2 linked regions of the Nothobranchius furzeri genome follow. The protein of the gene in region 2 binds, or shares a complex with, the protein of the main gene of each other region. Links are inferred from orthologs where the notes say so. Each region holds a gene or a part of one and is shown on either strand. Other genes may lie near its edges.

Region 1 (9,762 bases), on a different chromosome or scaffold from region 2:
CTCTCCTCTCCTCCTTCTGCCCTGTTGGTCTGAGGCCAATCGTCTATCAATATCTGTGCTGATAGGTGGTAGCATCACAAGAACACCTCTGCTTTAACCACGATGCTTGGTAAAGCCTTGGTATTGATTATGTGTAATTAGTTTGTCCCTTAACTAGTGATTGGTGTGTAGGACAAGTGTGAGGGAGGTAGAAAGGAGGAAAGGACAAGGGGTCAAGGAGGACATGTGGAGGGGTTGGAGAAAAGAGGACAGAACTGGGACGGGCCTGGAACAGGCGAATGTCCAGAAATGGGACAGCAGCATAAACAAAACAAGAAAAGACACCTGGTTTGTGTTCCTTACCTTCCGATCATGGTGGAGTGCTGCTGGACAGCTGCCTCCAGCAGCCTCTCCAGAATGGTCCATTCTCCCATGGTGATGGAAACACGGCAGAGCGAGCTGAAGAAAGGGGACTCGGGGAGCTGATCTGTCTTCTGTCTTGCTCTTTACAGGACCAGCCTGTCTGCGGACCAGCGAGGGGGGTGCACCAAATCCCCCACACCAGCTCCCTCTTGACCTCTACGCACTGACCCGGCTCCTCGTCTCTGAGTGTCTTCTGCCGGGCCTGTCCCACCAAGCTGAAGGAGAGGTGCTGAACTCACTGCCTCCCCCCTTCTCTTTGCCTCAGTTTTCTCCCCCCGCCCCAGTGCAATGATGCTTGTCCTCCCCCTGCAGCACCACTCTGCTCTGCGCTACAGCATATGCTATAGCTCACAGTATGACAGCCATGATCACCCTCTCTCTTCCACTTTCCTCTCCCCGTCCTCTATCTGTTCTCTCCTTCTCCTCTTCCTCCCCTGTCTCCCTCCTCCTCCACCCCCCTCTACCCTTACTCCCAGTGCACTCTGTGTACTTCAGGTGCACTCTGTGCCATTGGTGCTGCTCTACACTCGTCCTTGCATTGTGGTTCTTTGCCTTTGCTGCACCCCTGCTGCTCTAACCTAAACACACACCACATACAGCTGATCTTCCTTGGCTCACCTTAGCCAACAGCACTGTAAACACACACACACACTTTCACACAGCGACAGCTCTGAATCCCTCTCTCCCACTTCCTACAGAGGACTGCAGATCCAGACCAGCACACAAAGCTCCTGCCTGCTAAATGTCACTTCATGACTGGAGGAATGGTTGCTCTCTCGGAGCTCCGAGCACTACACAGACCTGTAAAAACCTGCACACACATACATACGCTCAGAGCCGCGTGCACAAACATGCTGCCATCCAGGTCCTCAGTAATAAATCAGCTGCCTTGCTGCATCCAGCGAGAATTAACCAAAGCACTTTGCTGCAGACCTGCTGTCCTCTTTCGTCCTACTGGCAGATTTCAGCACACTCCGATGCCCAGAGTCATGTCTGCTGCAGGGAGCAGGGATGAAAAGCTGTCCTGTAAAACCTATTTCTGGGCTCCATCATCCAGCATCCCCCTTTCTGCCTCCCCCCTCTCTCTCTCTCGCTCCACCTCCGTTCTCTTCCTCCTTCCCCTCTCTCCCCCGTTCCGGTTTGTTTGGATCTCAGTCCTGCCAGCTACCTCTGTCTCAATGGTCGGTCCCCATCTCTGCTCTCAGAGCTCTGTGCTCTCCTCTCTGTCCCTGTGCCTCTTCCTCGCTCATCGCTCTATCTCTGTCACACTCTGTGAGCATGCAACACCCCCCTCCCTCCTCCCTCCCCATCATCTCAGAGATCTGCTCCCTCTCATCTCTCTCCCTCTTTCACTCCCTCCCTTTCGTCTTCTCGCCTCCTCTGGTAAATGTGCTTGGATTGCTACCCTGATCGCTGCTTCACTTATGCTTGCAAGACTCCCTCCTGCTGTACTGCTGCACCTGTCTCAGGCTGACGCTGAACAGGGCGAATCTGAGATCTAACCGCACCTCCTGGCGTGTCTCAGCAACCCTTTGTTCCGGGACCTCAGCCGTGTTTCATGTTCACTTCAAATGATCTCTTCCTCTTTTAACCTCCTGGAGGAGAATCAGAGGAACTCTTCCATCACATCCACTATTTATCTCCTCACCTTTGTCTATCTTACTGTACTGAGTACAAAAACACACCTATTTGATCCTCACCCAACCTTAATGCCCTTTCTGTATTTCCTCTCATCGTGTTTCTCAGTTCCCCCACCCACCCTACATGCAAGCCTCCATGCTCTCTCTCGCTCCCTCTCAGGAGAAATGAGCAATGTATTGTACTTTGCAGTGACATTGAAAGCTGCATTCATTGGATTTATGTTAAGGTTGAGAGGAAGTATGCTGGTCCTCCACCATTACGCCCACAGATGCAGGCAAACGTACGGTGTGCAGTCAACACACTCACAGCCGCAAGACAAATACATCTGCATTCCTTCCACTAAAGCCCAGGGGAGAGGGTGATTAAACTAAAGAAAGAATCACAAAGTTGCTTCCCGAGATGTGAGTCATAGTAATAAGGCTTTCCCTTTCAGGACGCTGAGCCAAGTTCTGCAGAAGTAAACGACGCAGGGTGCAGCACAGCAATGTGAAGTCCTGGCTACAGAGCATGTCCTTGAGCTTTTATGGAAAATTCAAAATTATATTAAAGTGGATTCTCAAAGAAAAATGATGAAGTGAAGCCATTTTCCATAACCTTCCCTCCAAATGTGAACGCGGTAAAGATGAAGAGAGACTGGGGGGGACATAGATCTACCGAGATTTTGCCAGATCAGCATCTTCAGCAGGGGGACTGTGGAAAGGAGGGGTGGGGGTATTTTCCTTACCAAGGACATAAGGCGTAGGAGTGCTAAAGCAAAGAGGGGGATCAGTGGAGTGTGATGGCTTTGGTTTGGCAGAAGCAGAGCAGCTGAAGCGCTGGCATCAGCCAAACGGCACTCCGGGAATGGGACATGAATGAGAAGGGGCGCAGGTGTGTGTCTTCTCTTCAGTGACCTAGAAGGGTTAGCTAAAGCAGGCACAAAAATACCGCAGACTTTAACTCCACTGTAGGGATCCAGAATTTGGATATTTTTACATTTTTTCAAGTCAAATGTTGATTTCCCTTTTAAGGTTGTGTAATCTCACTAAATTACAACATCTCCTACTCTGAAACATTACAAAGGCCATGAAGGGACTTTGATTAGTGTTCTGACCTCTAAAACGTTCATGACGTGTTGTAACAAGGGAGGAAATGAGGATATCAAAAATGATTGTTAATGAATGAGAGTTGTGTTGAGTTTCAGGAGAGCACAGGTGTGTTAACAAGGGCTGCATTCCATTTAGAAGTGCTGTGTGAACCAGCTGCAGGATGGGAATGCAGTTCTGCTTTTCTTGCGAGGCCAATTGCATGAATTAAACAAGAATCAGACCCATTTTTATGAACATTTGCAACAAAATGAAACTTGTACTTTCACTCTGACACCCATCTCTGCATAGGGAGCTAAAGAGAGTCACCTTGTAAATTGCCAGAGGGCTTCATAACAGCTGTCGTCCTACAAGCTGGAGGTCACCAGCTGTAAAGGCTCCTGTAAACAACAGAATCAGATGACAGTTTAAAAACGTGTCAGACAAAGCCGGCTCCACAAAGTTCTACTATCACACCTACATCCTGTTAAACGTGATCTAATTTTTGTTAATGCCAAATAATTAATGCCAGTTGATTTTATGTTGAAAGGCTGCCAGCAAGTGCTGCCATCACTATAGTGACTATAAAACCACACATGTTAATCCTGCAGTGATGTCTCAAAATAGTCCACCCTGAGCAAAGACAAGTGACATTATTCAAGCATCAACAAGGCTGATGATCAGAAAAGTGCACACCAAAATAATGCACTCTCTTCCAAAATATATTGTAATTTAAATTTTTGATCTAACCTTTAGGTCTCCTTTGACCCCAATTAGTGACCCAAGTGTTGCTAATTAGCATTTTTGTTAAAAGCACTATTTGCAGCACAGATCTTGCTCGTTTTCCTAGTCTTTGTATTTACCTCATCAAATTAACTTGAGCAAATTAAACTGAAAACATTAGGTGTAACTAGGATGAAATAGCAAAATTTGCAAGAAAATAGTTGAGACAGATTTGTTGACTAAAATTTATTAAAGAATAAACTTATGGAGACTGTATCATACCGTGGTGATAAACACAACCACAGGACAGACCAGGTTCTTCAGAACAGCTCATAATAATTAGATTAAAATCTAAATTGCTTAGTGTGTGAAATGTCTGCAGTGGTGTGAGCCCGCCCTCTTGTGGACATATGAACATAAAACATGTGTCCAACACGAAACCCATGTTTTACGTTTCCAGATTTGTTTAAATTCTACAGTTAATCTAGAAATTATATATGAATGTAATCATAATAAATCCGTATTCTGCATGGTATAATCCAGCTATCATCTTCTTGCTGTTGAATTGTTTTCAGTTGTCATTGTTGTTTGTTTTTGTTTCACCGCTAGATGGCAGCATAACGGTTCGGCTGTAACAGCAAATACGGCGCGAAGAAGAAGTGGCCCGGTGTAGTTCGCTGATCTGCTGGACTGAGGCTAACTTGGTAGTAGTAGTCACAGAGTTGTAAAATAGTATATTAACGCTAAGAGGGGTGGTTACAGAACAGCACACATCAACAAGTGGACAGGTTTAAAGGCTGGCACACGAATTCCGGACCTTTAAATAGTGAGAACAGCTGCTTAGCTATCATTTAGCAGGCTAGCTGGAGAGTTTCTGAAGAGGATTGTCGGGTTCGTTTGATCCAGTCATGTCTACGGCCGGAGACTTCGGAAACCCTTTAAGAAAATTTAAACTGGTCTTTCTTGGGGAACAGAGTGGTAAGTTTCTCACTGGCTGGGAGAAATAAAAACTTAACTATATTTAAACTTGGTTTCCTTAGGATGTATAGTTGAGTTACTCCGGTGTTTAACGCCAGTCAGTTAGCCTGCTAACATTAGCTGCAAATCGTAATACTTGTTAAATTGCGACACAGTTGATGTCGTCTTGTCCACGCTGGCTCCGGCGTTCACTCTCACCTAGATGACTCATGATCGTGGAAATGGACTTGTTCACCAGGTCACTAACCGCAGTGGGCTCGAATACCAGCGTCAGTGACGTATGAAGTTTCATTTAGAAGAACACGGGTCAGTTTTAAGTGGCAAAAGTAGTAAAACGTTCGGTTTGATTATAAATACTTTCCTTTATGACGCTGCTACAGTGTTTTATCATTGTTTATTAACTAGCATTCCCAGCTTTAGTGTGTAAACGTAACAATGATTACATTCATCATCTTTTTTCCTACCCTTGGGGCACTTACCATAATCCAAACCTGCCTGGTCACATTCCTACACTCCCCCATTGACCTTTGTTCCAGTCAGGGTTCACAAACAATCTGCCCCAAAACTGAAAGATGTTTGCGGTACTCTGAACAGTGTAGTGCTGTTATTAGGTTAAGTACATGTATTTCCCTCAAGCTTTAGCTAAAACACCACTGTGTGAGCTTAATTTGGGGTTTCAGGTTGGTTTGGTTTAGCTGAACCAAGTCTTTTCTGTTCTTATGCAAGCTGTTGGTGACCCATTATAACAGAACTTCATGTAAAAGCTTTCTTTTTTTTATAATCATGAATATGTTTCTGATATAAAACCTTTCTGGAGATGAATTTATGCAGGAAAAAGACGATGTCAAACAAATGATGGCTTCTTATGTTTCTTGTTAACCTCTATGAAAATTTAGGTCCTTTTATTATCAAAAATGTTCTTATTTTTAAGTTTTTAACACATTTAAATGCTTCATCCCATGTTCACGGTCCAGTCTGCTTTGCATTACTTTCTGGGAATGAATAATATAGCCATATATTAGGGCTGCACAATATATCGTAAATATATCGTTATCGCGATATCAGCATGAGCAATATGCATATCGCAAAGAACATAAAAATATCGCATTGAATGGTCAGCTCAAATGTTTGCTTCACATAATGTGTTCTGTCAATCAGAAACATGATGTTTTTTTAAACAAATCAAAAAGAGCTCTTCACCCATTTGGCCAATCAGGTGGGATCTCATAGTTTAGGTGCCCGCCCCCGAGGCAAACGGCACATAATTTTAATGGTTAGCAAACACAGTTAGCTTTTTTCTGCTCTTTCTGCTGATTCTGCCTTTCCCGGGATCCACTGATCGCCTTTTCTTGATCGTTTTCTTTTTCCTTTTCCTCACATCTTTTGCGTTTCTCATTTTTATGATTTTTTTATTTCTTTGTTTTTGATTATTTTTGTTCCTGAATTAAGTTTTTATTTATCGAAAGTAATATCGTCATCGCAATATTAATCACTGATATCGAATATTGCAGGTTTCCCTAATATCGTGCAGCCCTACCATGTAGATTTTCCGAATAAACTCAAATCATCAAAGGAATGAGCTGCAAACAAATTTCCCTCTAATCTCTAATTTCCCTTTGGGATTCATAAAGCATTTTTGAATTTGAATGTACACACAAGCCCTTAGAGAGCCTTTTTCTTTGGTATGTCTGATGGTCTTCACTGCAACACTCACTTTCCTTTAGGGTGAGAACAAGACATTCTACAAAATCTGACCTTTCCTTATCATTCGGTACATTTATTTCCACGTGGCACAGCCTTTAATGGGACTCATCCAGATAAGGCAGACAGATATTGTGTTTGCTCATCTGTAATCAGCGGTTGGTCCTTGCTGCTGTGTTGGCTTCAGCTGTGTCACCGTCACTTGATGCACGCTGTAACCGATATTGTAACTCGAGCTCGACACAGAAACGGTCTGAGGCCGAGGAGCTCAGCCCCAGATCTCAAACCAACATGAATCCACTCAGCAGCAAATGTTCTCCACAAAAATACCCCAGATATACAGTATACTCCACTCAACCTTTACTTATACAGCGCCGTTCACAGAAATAAAATTCACAAAGTGCTTCACTGTAGATCTAACAATAAAAAGTAACATCAAGATATTAACAATAAAATTTTATTTATAGTATATAAAGTACTTTATGAATTGTTTACATATGCCAGATGTTACTTTAATAACTTTTAATTTATGAAATGTGAACAAAAACTTGAAGCTGTAATTTTATTACATTTGTGACAACGTGTCATTTTCTTTTGGGCTTTAGGTCATCATTGTGTTTTCTTGTGGAAGAAAACTCGATTCATTTATTTTAATTTGGTTTCATAAATATTCTGATGTTTTTAATCAATGAACTTATGTTCAATATTTGTCAAAAACTTTTATTTTGGTCATTTTGAAATATTTAGTCCTTTGTTTGTGTTTCAGTGGGAAAGACTTCATTGATCACCCGGTTTATGTATGACAGCTTTGATAACACATATCAGGTGAGTTCACCTATTCTTTGATTATAATTATGCTGATTGATGCTGACTAAAGGTAATTTTCCCCATTTGTTGTCAGGCAACAATAGGAATAGATTTCCTTTCAAAGACCATGTACCTCGAAGACAGAACAGTAAGTTTATTTTCATCTCCTGTAGGGTTTGGGTTGGTAAAGAATCTGTGTGTTTTCTCCACCAAACACACACACACACTCAGGGCTGGTTTTTCTCTCTAATGTGATTATGGTGCCATTTAGCTTCACTGTTTGTACCAAGTTTTCTCCCTCTTCTTCCCACCTCTGCATTAATCCATCATCACATTTTAAAACAGAAAACTTTACCCTGACGAGTGAAGGGTGACTTTTTCTTTCCCCTCCAGGCCCAGACAGCTTTTCTACCTGCATGCACTACTCCCTCTGTCTCTGTTTTCCCTTCAGCCATACTTTATTTGTTCTTCTTTCAGTTTGCTTGTCATCACATAAACTTAGCTTGTTTGTCTTTTTTTTTTATTTATTCCATTGTCTCTGTTTTATTAGATTTTATTTCTTTATTCTTTGTTCCATCCTCTTCCTGCCCTACAGATTCGGTTGCAGCTGTGGGACACGGCGGGGCAGGAGCGATTTCGCAGCCTGATCCCAAGTTACATCAGAGACTCGGCTGCTGCTGTCGTAGTTTACGACATCACAAGTAGGTGATGCCACATCTGGAAATAAAACACATCCTCATACATCCGCTGTTATTGTAATGTCTTCTTGTCGCTCATTCCTTTGATTTTTAGGCTTTCTCTTCCTGAGTAGTGATGCTCTGCTTCCTGTTTGGTTTCCTTTTAGATGTCAACTCTTTCCAGCAAACTACAAAGTGGATCGATGATGTGAGAACGGAGAGAGGAAGTGATGTCATTATTATGTTGGTGGGAAACAAGACAGATCTTGCAGACAAAAGGTAAGTTTTAAACCAGCTCAAATCACTGCTTCCATTTAAACACCAGCCTACCACCAGCCGATCTGCAGCGGAACAAGTTCTCTCTTCTCTTCGTTGATGTCATTTGTGATGATTGTTTTCTGATTTACGTCTGTCTAGTTGATGCTTTCGGTCTTCCTGTTTCTTTTTTTGTTGCATCTTTTAACTTCCTTATCTACCACAGGCAAGTATCTATTGAAGAGGGTGAGCGGAAAGCCAAAGAACTAAATGTAATGTTTATTGAGACTAGTGCGAAAGCAGGCTACAATGTCAAGCAGGTAAGGATGTGTGTGAGCCGTGCTCTGTAGTCCTGCTGCAGACGCTGCACACCGAGCTTCAGGACCAAAAGTCTCCCGCTCCGATCAGACCAGATGAAGAAGTCAACTTAAATAACAAAGGAGTTTTAATCAAAGTTGTGCAAATAGCTGTGAGATTGTTTTTCATTTCCTGTCTTGGTTTTCAGGGAATTTTGATACCTTTTAGAATTGTTGATTTAGGGTTAGAAATGAACATTTGTACCAAGCTCTCCTTTATTAACCTAAACAGCAAAAACCTGATCATGACCAGAAAATAGTGAAGGAATTTTATTTAAATAACAAGTTCAATTAAACTTTTATCCACTCAAATAATGTTTTATTTCCCACAGATGTTGTTGCGTTGTTTTAATTTGACTAGCATGTAAATTATTCTCTGACTCCATTGGCGTGCACATTCATATTCATAGTTTTCTTTAGACTTTTTTTTTTATTAACAAGCTTTACAGTCAGTTGGTTTATAATCTTTTTTTTTTTAATAAATGTAGGTGACTTTAGAGCAGAAGTCTGATGTAGTTTTGAGCATTTTTGGCACAGTGTGATCAACTTTATCTCCTTAAAGGAGAATCCTCCTTTTGCTCAGGGGTTTTCTGGGGGTGCGTTCACAAGCATTAGAGCTGCATGTAGAAGCCACAAATATTAAAGATGGCTGGGAGGCTTTTGGTCTGAGGTAAGGTGGCAGTAGCAGCAGGGAGGAGCACGGCTTGTTGATGTGCTTCAGTTTAATCACAGTGTGTTTTTGTGTTTTTCTCCTTTTGTTTGTTTTAATGTCTGGTGGATTGTGCGTGTCCCGGGGTGTTTGTGTGCTGTTCGTGGTGACTCCTGGCTCGTCACAGACAGATAACCACAGAGGAAGGAGAACAGAGAGCAAAAGAGATGAATGTTCTGTTTGTTGAGACCAGTGCAAAGACAGGCTACAATGTCAAACAGGTAGAGCGTGTGCAAATTTGTGAGTGTGTTCGTAGAATTCCTGCCTTGATTTGATTGGCCTCTCCTGCACACTCCCACGCGTGCACAAAGATGTGCTTTAAACCTCTGCTTCTGTGAGATGCATGAGATTAGTTTTTCAAACTCTCTCCCACCTGAACGTGATTTGTTTGGGCCAACTTTAAATTACCGTTGTTCTGACGGGTCAGAGTTTGCAAACCCAAGCCCAGC
Region 2 (9,662 bases):
AAAGCTGAGTGTCAAGCAGGGAGGCATTGGGTCCCATTTTTACAGTCTTTCAACCCCGACTTCTCAGTCCCAGTGGACACTCTACCACTAGGCCACTGAGAAGGTTCTGCTTTAAACTTACTGCTCTGGCTCTGAAGGTTGAAGAGCTGCTCCTCAACTCGGGTCAGTTGTCCCTGCAGCATTTCCATGGTGGCCCGGTGGTCGTCCTGCAGCTTCCTCAGCTGCTCCCTGTAGGTGTGCCGCTGGGCCTCAGCCTGGGAGGACAGGTCAGTTTGAGCCTGGGACAGGTCCGACCGCAGCGCCACATTCTCCGACTGCAGTGACAAAACCCTTGAGGTGGAAATGGAGGAAAGTATAAAACAAGATCAGTGATTGCTCAAAGATATTTCCATGGCATCTGACAGGAAAACAATATTTGTTTTTGGTTTTTATGGCATCTTATAAAAGCAAAATAACAAGGATGGCTAAGCACTGAGAACAAAAATAGCACGAGAAACTCCAGCTGAGATGTTAAAACAACAAACCTCTCGCGGAGCTCAGCTTCTTTGCTGATGTTTTCCTGCAGGATTTTGTTGTGTCTCTCCAGCAGAGTGTCGTGTTCGGTCTGGAGCTGCTGCAGCTCTGCTGTGCTGCTCAGGAGGCTCTGCTGGCTCTCCGTCAGTCTGGTCCTCAGCTGGTCGACCTGGGAGGACAACTGCTCCCTGCAAAGGATACCACATGTTCATATTAGAGTTACAGCCTTAAAGCCGCAACGGCAAATTTTAAAACATTTTATCATGCCTCTTAACAACATTCTAACATACTATAGCTATAAATATATTGTGGAGATTAGAAATAATTAAAAATTAATATAGTGGTTCTCTTGCATTTGTCTAAAGGCCTCCACCAACAAACCAACCATTGATTGGACCATCCAGTCGTTGGTCTCACCGAACCGTCACACTTCCCTGGTCCTCCACTCATCAAACACTCATGTATTCAGCACCAGAACACCACAGGTGTGAGAGGTTCTCCGCTCGGTAACACCAGAGAAGGAGAAACAGCTGGCTGCTACCACTTCAGCTTTAGGACAAACTACCAGAGTCCCAAAAAGAACAACTCCATTTGAAGTAACGAACAACAAAAGACGCGTGGACCTAGAAAACAGCGGTAGGTGTTTAGCGCCATCTCTTTTCCTCCGGTATGGTGGGCTTCTGGTTCCAGCAGAAGCATCTCATGGAGGATGCCCGAGTGTTCTGTGACTGAACCGAGCTTGTTCTGCAGATTTGCTTTAGCAGCCTTCATGTGGATCATTCTCCTGATGAGTGTTGTCTGCACCATGTACACAATCTGTGATTTCCCTAGGCTTATTGAGTTTTTCCTGATGCTTTGAATCTTTTTTATACTTTTAGTTTCTTAAAAGAAATGATTGATTTATGTAGCATGTACTGATGGTTATATTTGATTTAAGCATGCTTTTAGATTTCACATTAAAATACTTATCTATATATCTATATCTATATATGTGTGTGTGTGGCTTTAAAACTCCAAAGGTCAGTTAAGTCATTTCCTGAATAAATATTGGCAGCTTTGTAACATATAACCATAAAAATCAGATCTAAAATACATGACAGTGGGTCCAAGTCTTTGGGCAATGCCATATTAAACTCCATGTTTCCTTCTATGTGAGCTTGTGAGGACAAAACGAATTCACTGGCCAGAAGAATGGATAGCTTTGATAGCAGGGCTCTGAGAACATTGAGAACATCAGGTGGCCCCAGCGGGTCTCCAACCAAGTGTGAAGAGAACGCACGTGCCAGCCCAGTGCATCTTGCCTGGCAGCGCAACGCCACACCCACTGGCTCGGCCATGTCCTCCGTCCTTCTTTTGACCACTCGACCAGAGCCATTCTGCAGTTTGACCCGTGGGCCGCAGGCTGGAGATGACCCGATGGCTCTTTGTTGTTGCGGGCGACCTCCCAACTATTCGGAGTTGCTGTAGCAAATGCAGAGCAGCTGGCACGAAACCGCCAGCACTGGAGACAACTAGTTTACCTGGTAGGCTCAACGCACTGATGCGGGATGACACCCGACCCTTCGCAGGAGCCTTGATGATGATAATGATAATATACTATATATATAAAATTGGCTGAAATAGTTGCTAAGAAGTGGCGTTTTAACCTTTTATTCTGGTTTTGTTTCCAACACATTTCACTGGAGGGTAGAGTGAAGGGAACATCGCTGTAACATCACCAGCTGGTCATTTACAGCCTCTTCTGTTATCAGACCTGTTGAGTCCTGCTATAAAAGGGCAAGGAAATTCCTGGACAAAAAGCCAATGTATCATCACTGTCCGATTCTGGATAAATATTCTATACAGAGTTTCCAAAATTTTAAACATTTTAAATCTGCTTGCCTGGCCAAGTTATTCATGGTCTAGCCCCTCCACCACTGAATGATTTTATTATTCAAAAGTCACATAGGGACTCTTCCCGATTAACTCGAGCTACAGTTGGAGGTGACTGTGAGCGCACGCTTAGGCGAACGACATTTTCTCAAAATGTTCTGTCATTCCAGGGCTCGACTTTTTGGAACAGCATTCCTACTCAAGTGAGAGAAAGCTCAAGTTTTATTATTTTCAAAAGACAATTCAAACTGTGGCTACAGGAAACTCAAAGATGCAATCATAGATGAGACTTTTGTTTTTACTCTTGTCTTTTTTGTAAAATAAGTTCCTAACTGTTTTTTTTTTTTTTTTTTAAATGTATATTGTTGTCTGTCTTACCTCTTTACATGAACCTGCCAGAGGACTGCAGATGGAGATTAGCCTAAGGCTACAATCTGGCATATTTAGTTGTATTGCTGTTCATAAATATGCAATGTCCTCTCTTTAAATAAAGTAAATAAAATAAAGTAACCTGCTGATTGAGTCTTTATTAAGGTGGACGTCACCTGATTGCTTTACTGCACCGTCACATTGATCTCACCTTTCTCTTTTGCCAGAGTCTCCTTCGCTTTGGGCACTGGTTTTGCTCTTCTGCTGCTTCAGCACATTGTGGACTCGTACCTTGTAACTCTCAAACTCACTGGTTGTTGTTACAAGCTCAGCCTGGAAAAACAAACGGATGATGAAAAGGTAACACGTTTCTCTACAGAGACACTTTTGTTCTTTAAATCACACAATCTACCTCTAATAAGAGAAACCGCAGCTCATCTAAATATGCCCAGAAACATTTCATGAATTACCCTAACCGGCTTGAAATGCTTTAAAATTAGGTTTTTAATACCTGGAACAAACCTCACACAGAGTTCTGTTATGTTTTATTCCAATATGTGGAATTATTTGTTTATTTATTTGGCAGACGCTTTTATCCAAAGCGACTTACAGTTTATAACCTATAGGGCATGTTGTGATCTGTTGGGGAAACCGGAGTACCCGGAGGAAACCCACGCATGCATGGGGAGAACACGCAACTCCACGCAGAAAGGCCGCAGCCGAGTTTCGAACCTGCAACCTTCATGCTGCGAGGCAACAGTGCTAACCACTGCGCCACCATGCACCAATTATTGGTGTCTTAACCTTTATGTGAGCATTTATCTCAGTAGTGATCATGTTTACTTGAACAGTGCCCTTCACCTTTGTTCCTATCCCATTGAGCTTCCTGAGTGAATGTCGAATAAAACTTCAGAACGAGGCCTAGAAAGGAATGTTACCTTAGCGGTGTCTCTGTCCTGCTGCAGACCGTGGATGCGTTGCTGCAGGGAGCTGCTGGTTCGGTGTTGCTGCTCCAGCGCAGACCTGAGCTGCTCCTGCAGACGATGGCGCTCGGCTGTCAGCTCACACACCTCAATCTAAAAGCACAAGCACACAGTTTAGGATGCAGCTGCGTAAGGATCAGCTGCTGGGTTCTGGGAAGTTCTCCAATTGTTACCTTAGAGCTTTCGAGCTGCTGCTGGTTAGCCTCCAGCTCTCCTTTCAGAGAAGCCTGAACCATCATCAGCGAGCTTTCCTGCATGTTTGAACACACACAGATAAAAACCACCATCAGCACAGAGACATGTAGTCACAGCCATGCCTACACAAGGCTGGATAACACACACGCACACACACACACACACACGCACGCACGCACACACACACACACACACCTGTTTCTTGGCATCTGCCAAGTCTTTCTTTGTCTTCACCAGCAGCTGTTTCATCTTCATGGTCTTCTCCTCTTCCTGGTCCAAATGAGACTTCAAAGCCTCTGGAGACGTGATGTGAGATGTGTGCACACGAGCATGACAAAAAATGAAATAAAAAAAATATTCAGTGATATTTATGGTCTAGTCTGTCACCTTGCTGCTAACTGACTGCATGGAGCACCAGAAAACACGGTGGACGTTACAGATAAACACATCAACGATGCTACAGCTGCACAACGAGGTCAATCGTTAGGAATATGCAGGAATTACTGATGCTACTTTTGTATTTTCTAATAAAATAAATCTGAATTTAAGGATTTTGGAATCTATGGGGTAAAACTAACCAACAACAAACTGTTATTTGAATGAAACTTTATTAAGTACAGAAACATTGCATTGGTACCGATTTCCTGCTTGAGCGTCTCCTGCTTCTGAGTGAAGCTGCTAATCTGGGCTTTTAACTCCTCCTGCTGCGCCTCTTTCTCCCTCAGCTTGCCATTGAGTTCTTTCACCAGACGTTCATAGTCGGCCATCTCCATGTCCAGCAGGGAATTCTGCTGCGCCTCCTAGTGGCAGAGTCAAAGTACTACATCATTAATGTGAAGAGAGCTGAAGCTTCTCAGTCAGACAAAGAAAAATGTGTTTAGTGATAAAACTAGTTAGCCCATTATCGGGCGATTAACCCGATTTAGTACAATGTCCAGTTTAAGACTGTATCTTGTTCTGGAGATACTGTCCTGCTGGTCCAAGAGTAGCATTAGCTCTCTTCTGAAAACTTTCCTGTTACATCAGATGCATTTGTAAAAAGCACCTGGATGCATCTGTGGTCTGTTCCACATGTTGAACAGAAAAATAATCACATGCTTTTGGCTAAAACCCTATTTAAGGACATGACCTTTACAGATCTTTGCAAAAATTTAAGTATACGTGACAAACACAATACAATGTTTGATTTAGCAACTCCTGATATGAACTTTTTACTTTCTTTATCATAAAATGTGCTACTAGTTCATGTGTGCGTGTGTGTGTGTGTGTGTGCGTGTGTGTGTGTGTGTGTGTGTGTGTGCTCTGTCCTAAATCCCAGTGAGGCGTGACCAAGCCCCCACAATGCATCTCTAAAATTGAGTCAAACCCGGAAATGAAATAAACTGCAGTTCCACCCAGCGGATGAGGGGAATACACGGTCAAAATGGCGGCGGTGGCCACCTCCCATTTGGCCTCAAAAATGTGATATTGGAGCCTATGGAAAGGAGATGTCCAGTATATTTATGTCGATGGTCGTGACAGATGGCTGCTCAGATGGCTGTTGGAGGTTTCTTCCTAGTAAAAGGGAGTTTTCCTCTCCACTGTCCTTATAAAGGAAACTTTTAACTAATTTGAATAATAAGTGGGTTTAATTAGAAGTGTCTTGAGATGACTCTTGCTGTGATTTGGCGCTATAAAAATAAACTGAATTGAATTCACTCTAAAGTCCAAGCAATACGTTGTATTTTCTGTATGAATGTAATCAAATATAATTACTATATCTTATTGTAAAAAGTAAAATAAAACCTATTTTAAAATGTTTAAATATAAAATTCTCCCTAGACTCGGCACAAACACCAGCCTGAGAAAGTCCGTTTCTCTAGATGAAACCAGTAAAGTGGACCCCAGACAAAGCCAGACCTGCAGGCAGCTGTCATGCACCCTGCTGGAACATTCAGGTCTCCACTAATGGAAACTAACAGCAGCTCTTTGGGCTGTGGGCTAAAGCTGCTCCCTCTCTCTCTCTCTCTGAGGTGCAGCTGTAGCTTCAGGGCAGTCATAAGCAGTTCAGTGCCTTGACCGGATTTTGCTCTGAGAGACCACTTCGGTGCTGGCGTACCTTGCGTAGCTGCTCCAGTTCCTGAGCGGCCTGCTGAGATTGCTGCTGCTGCTTGCGGAGCTGAGCTGTCAGCTCCTCCACCTCCTTCGTGGCAGATGACAAATCCTGGTGAGGGAAACGCAAACAAACTGTCAGCTCTTTTAGCTTCAATCATGTGAAACTGATCTATTACAACACATATCAGGGGCTTAAACGTATATTATATAATAAAAGGGCAACACATTTTTCTGGTGAAACTGTGCAAAATCTAAATCTGCTCATGCTTCTGTTTCTCTCCGTTTTCTACCTTAAGCTTTTGCTCCTTCATTGTTCTCTCAGCCAGGAGGTCATTGTCTTGATTTGCTAATTGTTTCTGCAGCTCCTGGTTCTTGACCTCCAACTGCTTCACTGTGCTCCTCATGGTCTCCAAACCAGCCAACAGATCCTCCTTCTCACTGCTCAGTGTTTCCGTCTGCAAAACAAAACAAAACAATATTCTCTAACTACGGTGTCAGGAGGAATCCAGTCAAATATTCTAAGGGGATGAAAGGTGGAGGGCTTGTTCTAGTTTTCCTTAGTGGAGACTTTCTGTAGAACACATGCTTGGAGGCAAATGCACCAAACTCTGAAAATCATCCACGTGAATCTGACAGCAGCAGGCTCTGAGGGCGTTCTCTAAACAGAATACTCAACCAGCGCCAGCTCCAGCCTTCTCCGGTCAGCTGTCAGCCAAACACTGGAAGTGTGATGGGTAAACTGAGACGTCGGGACGTACCCTGAGATCCCGAACCAGCATCAGTCTGTGTGCTTCCCCAGGGACCCATGAGTAAATATGAGAATGAAGCGGTGTCTCAGAAAAAGCACAGATGGAGGCTACACCCCGCTCCATTTACTTGGCGGTTCTCTGGTTGCAAAAAGACAGCTTCGATGAAACGAGTGTATATAAAAACAATTTCTCCCTTGCTCACCCAGTCACGTCTGATGGGCTGTTTGTGGGAGCCCGCCTGTCAGATTTATCTGGGAGAAGTGTTGCTGGCTAAAATGACTCTTTAAATCATATGGAAACAGAGTTATGCTTAAAGTATTGCTGGATAGAGTCCCAAAGCCAAGATTTACTGGACCCGAAGGGCACTTTGTCTCTCGACTCACTGTAATGTGTGTGTGTGTGTGTGTGTGTGTGTGTGTGTGTGTGTGTGTGTGTGTGTGTGTGTGTGTATGATGGAGTGTGTTTTCCAGTTACCTGTGTGACAGCACTGCTGAGTCGTTTGGTCAGATCAGCAATCTGTCTCTCCGCTGCCTCCAGATTCTCTCGCTCTTTGTCCAGCTGCTCGGTCTGCTTGTCGTAATCTATCTGCAGGTTCTGCAAACACACACACACACACACACACACACACACACACACACACACACACACACACACACACACACACACACACACACACACACACACACACACACACACACACACACACACACACACACACACACACACACACACACCTTCAATACTCCTTAATGGAGATGGCTTAACAGCTCAGTGAAGGCTAACTATCTGCACTGACGTTTGGGACAAAACTCTCATTAGACTCAACAGAGCAGTTTCCTCTTAGGCGTAAGAGTCTGGGTGCCGTTTATAGACACCACTGGGAGCTGTGTTATGCTTTAAAGAGCGCACACTTCCACTCGCCACTTAGCACCAAACCATAAGAAAGAATGAGACAGATTTAAATGTTAATTGGAGAATGTTGGTTTCACTTTAGGTTTATCTACACTGTTCTTTTTATTTGGGTAAAATACAGATAAATAATAGCTTCGCCCCTTTCAACCAACAACGCCTTACTCTAAATACCACCTTAAAACTTTATATTTGATTCATCATGTTGTAAATCTGTTGATAACAGTTCTAGTTTTTAAACTACTACTACTTCTTGGTGTCATCAGTGACTCAGACCTGAGCTTCTCAGGACATATGAAGGCTATAACTAAATCAGCCTTTTATCACCTTCATCAATCATCAAGAGTCAGAGGTCTCATACCCAGACCAGACTTAGAGAAACTCATTCATGCTTTTATTTCTGGTCGGCTGGACTACTGCAGTGGTCCCCTAACTGGTCTTTCCAAAAAAGCTGTGAAGCAACTGCAGCTTGTTCAGAATGCTGCCGCTAGAGTCTTAACAAGAACTGAGGGAACGGGCACATCACTCCTGTTCTTACATCCCTACACTGGTTACCAGTAAACTGCAGAATAGACTTCAAAGTGCTTCTACTAGTTTATAAATCACTCAGTGACATGGGGCCAGAATACATGTCCAATCTCATTCCTGTATACACACCCAATAGGGCTCTGAGATCCCTTGTCAGAATCAGCTGGTAGAACCTCGGGTCAGAACCATGCCAGCTGGTAGAACCTCGGGTCAGAACCATGTCAGCTGGTAGAACCGCGGGTCAGAACCATGTCAGCTGGTAGAACCTCGGGTCAGAACCATGTCAGCTGGTAGAACCGCGGGTCAGAACCATGTCAGCTGGTAGAACCGCGGGTCAGAACCATGTCAGCTGGTAGAACCTCGGGTCAGAACCATGTCAGCTGGTAGAACCGCGGGTCAGAACCATGTCAGCTGGTAGAACCGCGGGTCAGAACCAAACATGGTGGAGATGCATTTAGTTACTATGCTGCTCACATATGGAATCAGCTTCCCCATGACCTCAGATGTGCCCCAACCCTAGTGCTGTTTAAAACACAACTAAAACCCTCATGTACTCATCAGCCTTTACATGAATGGTTTCTCATGCTGCGTCGTCTCCACTGTAATCTGCGCTGTAACTTTGTCTTCTCCTTTAGCTCTAAACTGTAATTCTATCTGTGTGTATTTTAATTTGTGTTTTTACATGTTTTCATGTCATTTCCTGCTAATTGTAAAGCACATTGAATTACCTCTGTGTCTGAAATGTGCTCCATAAATGAAGCTGCCTTGCCTACTAATGGTTAAAACTGTCTCATTTCTAAAATACACCACCACAAAGTAGTGAAACTGAAAAACAGGAGACAAATATTAGAAAATATAATGTTCTTTTTTTATTTACAACCACCACTGCTTCCAACAAACCCAGTAAATAATCTCTTTTGAGTCCCTTCACCCCTGCTGCTTTTTTTGAATTGCACACTTTCTGTTGTCAATCTAGCTACAAATAATCTGCCATCTTTGTAAAATCCACATAATATTCTTAGTTTTATTACTTAAAGGGATATTTGTGTCTGTTGACATATTTCTCAGCATCACAAAAGTGGGAAAAAGCCATTTGTAATCAGCCCAGTCATTCTGCTGACCCGGCGGTACTTCTTTAGCTTTAGCTTAGCACAAAACACAGTAAGTGAATGGTACCAACTATCATTGTGAGAAAAAGTCCTTGGCAGTGATACAACTGCTTAGTGACCTAACCATTTTGACTGCATGTTAAAATAAAAAGTAACACACAGGCTTTACAGGCATTATTTTACACTTTAGGACAATGTGCAGCTGTGAGCTTTAGCCGAAAGGCGAAGGACATGACAACCCTAGACACTGGTACATTCTCTCAAATTAAAAACGTCTTTAACTGAAACTACTGTTGATAATCTCTGTGCAGCACACACTTCTCTACCTTTCTTTGCAGCTC

What was found.
Region 1: the proteins of GRIP and coiled-coil domain-containing protein 2 (region 2) and ras-related protein Rab-6A are in contact, whole or in part, in a crystal structure (PDB 3BBP), measured with the Homo sapiens proteins. The link is inferred for Nothobranchius furzeri from reciprocal best matches to the Homo sapiens genes GCC2 and RAB6A. Residues at the interface, in NP_852118.2 of Homo sapiens: Thr1585, Ile1588, Leu1589, Glu1591, Gln1592, Leu1595, Leu1596, Glu1599, Arg1602; in NP_942599.1 of Homo sapiens: Lys15, Ile46, Gly47, Ile48, Trp67, Arg74, Phe75, Ser77, Leu78, Ser81, Tyr82, Asp85.

The regions. Positions count from the first base shown.
Region 1 is NC_091750.1:48,851,270-48,861,031, forward strand, and holds the start of ras-related protein Rab-6A, read left to right. Parts: upstream 1-4,463; 5' UTR 4,464-4,738; coding exon 4,739-4,808; intron 4,809-7,275; coding exon 7,276-7,334; intron 7,335-7,410; coding exon 7,411-7,464; intron 7,465-7,911; coding exon 7,912-8,017; intron 8,018-8,160; coding exon 8,161-8,272; intron 8,273-8,474; coding exon of another isoform or gene 8,475-8,568; intron 8,569-9,440; coding exon 9,441-9,534; intron 9,535-9,762. Other genes in the region: gap junction delta-2 protein-like, read right to left, coding at 343-413. UniProt on the Homo sapiens protein: The small GTPases Rab are key regulators of intracellular membrane trafficking, from the formation of transport vesicles to their fusion with membranes.
Region 2 is NC_091747.1:23,132,259-23,141,920, reverse strand, and holds part of GRIP and coiled-coil domain-containing protein 2, read right to left. Parts: intron 7,370-9,662; coding exon 7,250-7,369; intron 6,482-7,249; coding exon 6,317-6,481; intron 6,136-6,316; coding exon 6,031-6,135; intron 4,733-6,030; coding exon 4,570-4,732; intron 4,229-4,569; coding exon 4,128-4,228; intron 3,989-4,127; coding exon 3,911-3,988; intron 3,831-3,910; coding exon 3,693-3,830; intron 3,088-3,692; coding exon 2,966-3,087; intron 1,169-2,965; exon of another isoform or gene 1,024-1,168; coding exon of another isoform or gene 879-1,023; intron 702-878; coding exon 525-701; intron 331-524; coding exon 122-330; intron 1-121. UniProt on the Homo sapiens protein: Golgin which probably tethers transport vesicles to the trans-Golgi network (TGN) and regulates vesicular transport between the endosomes and the Golgi.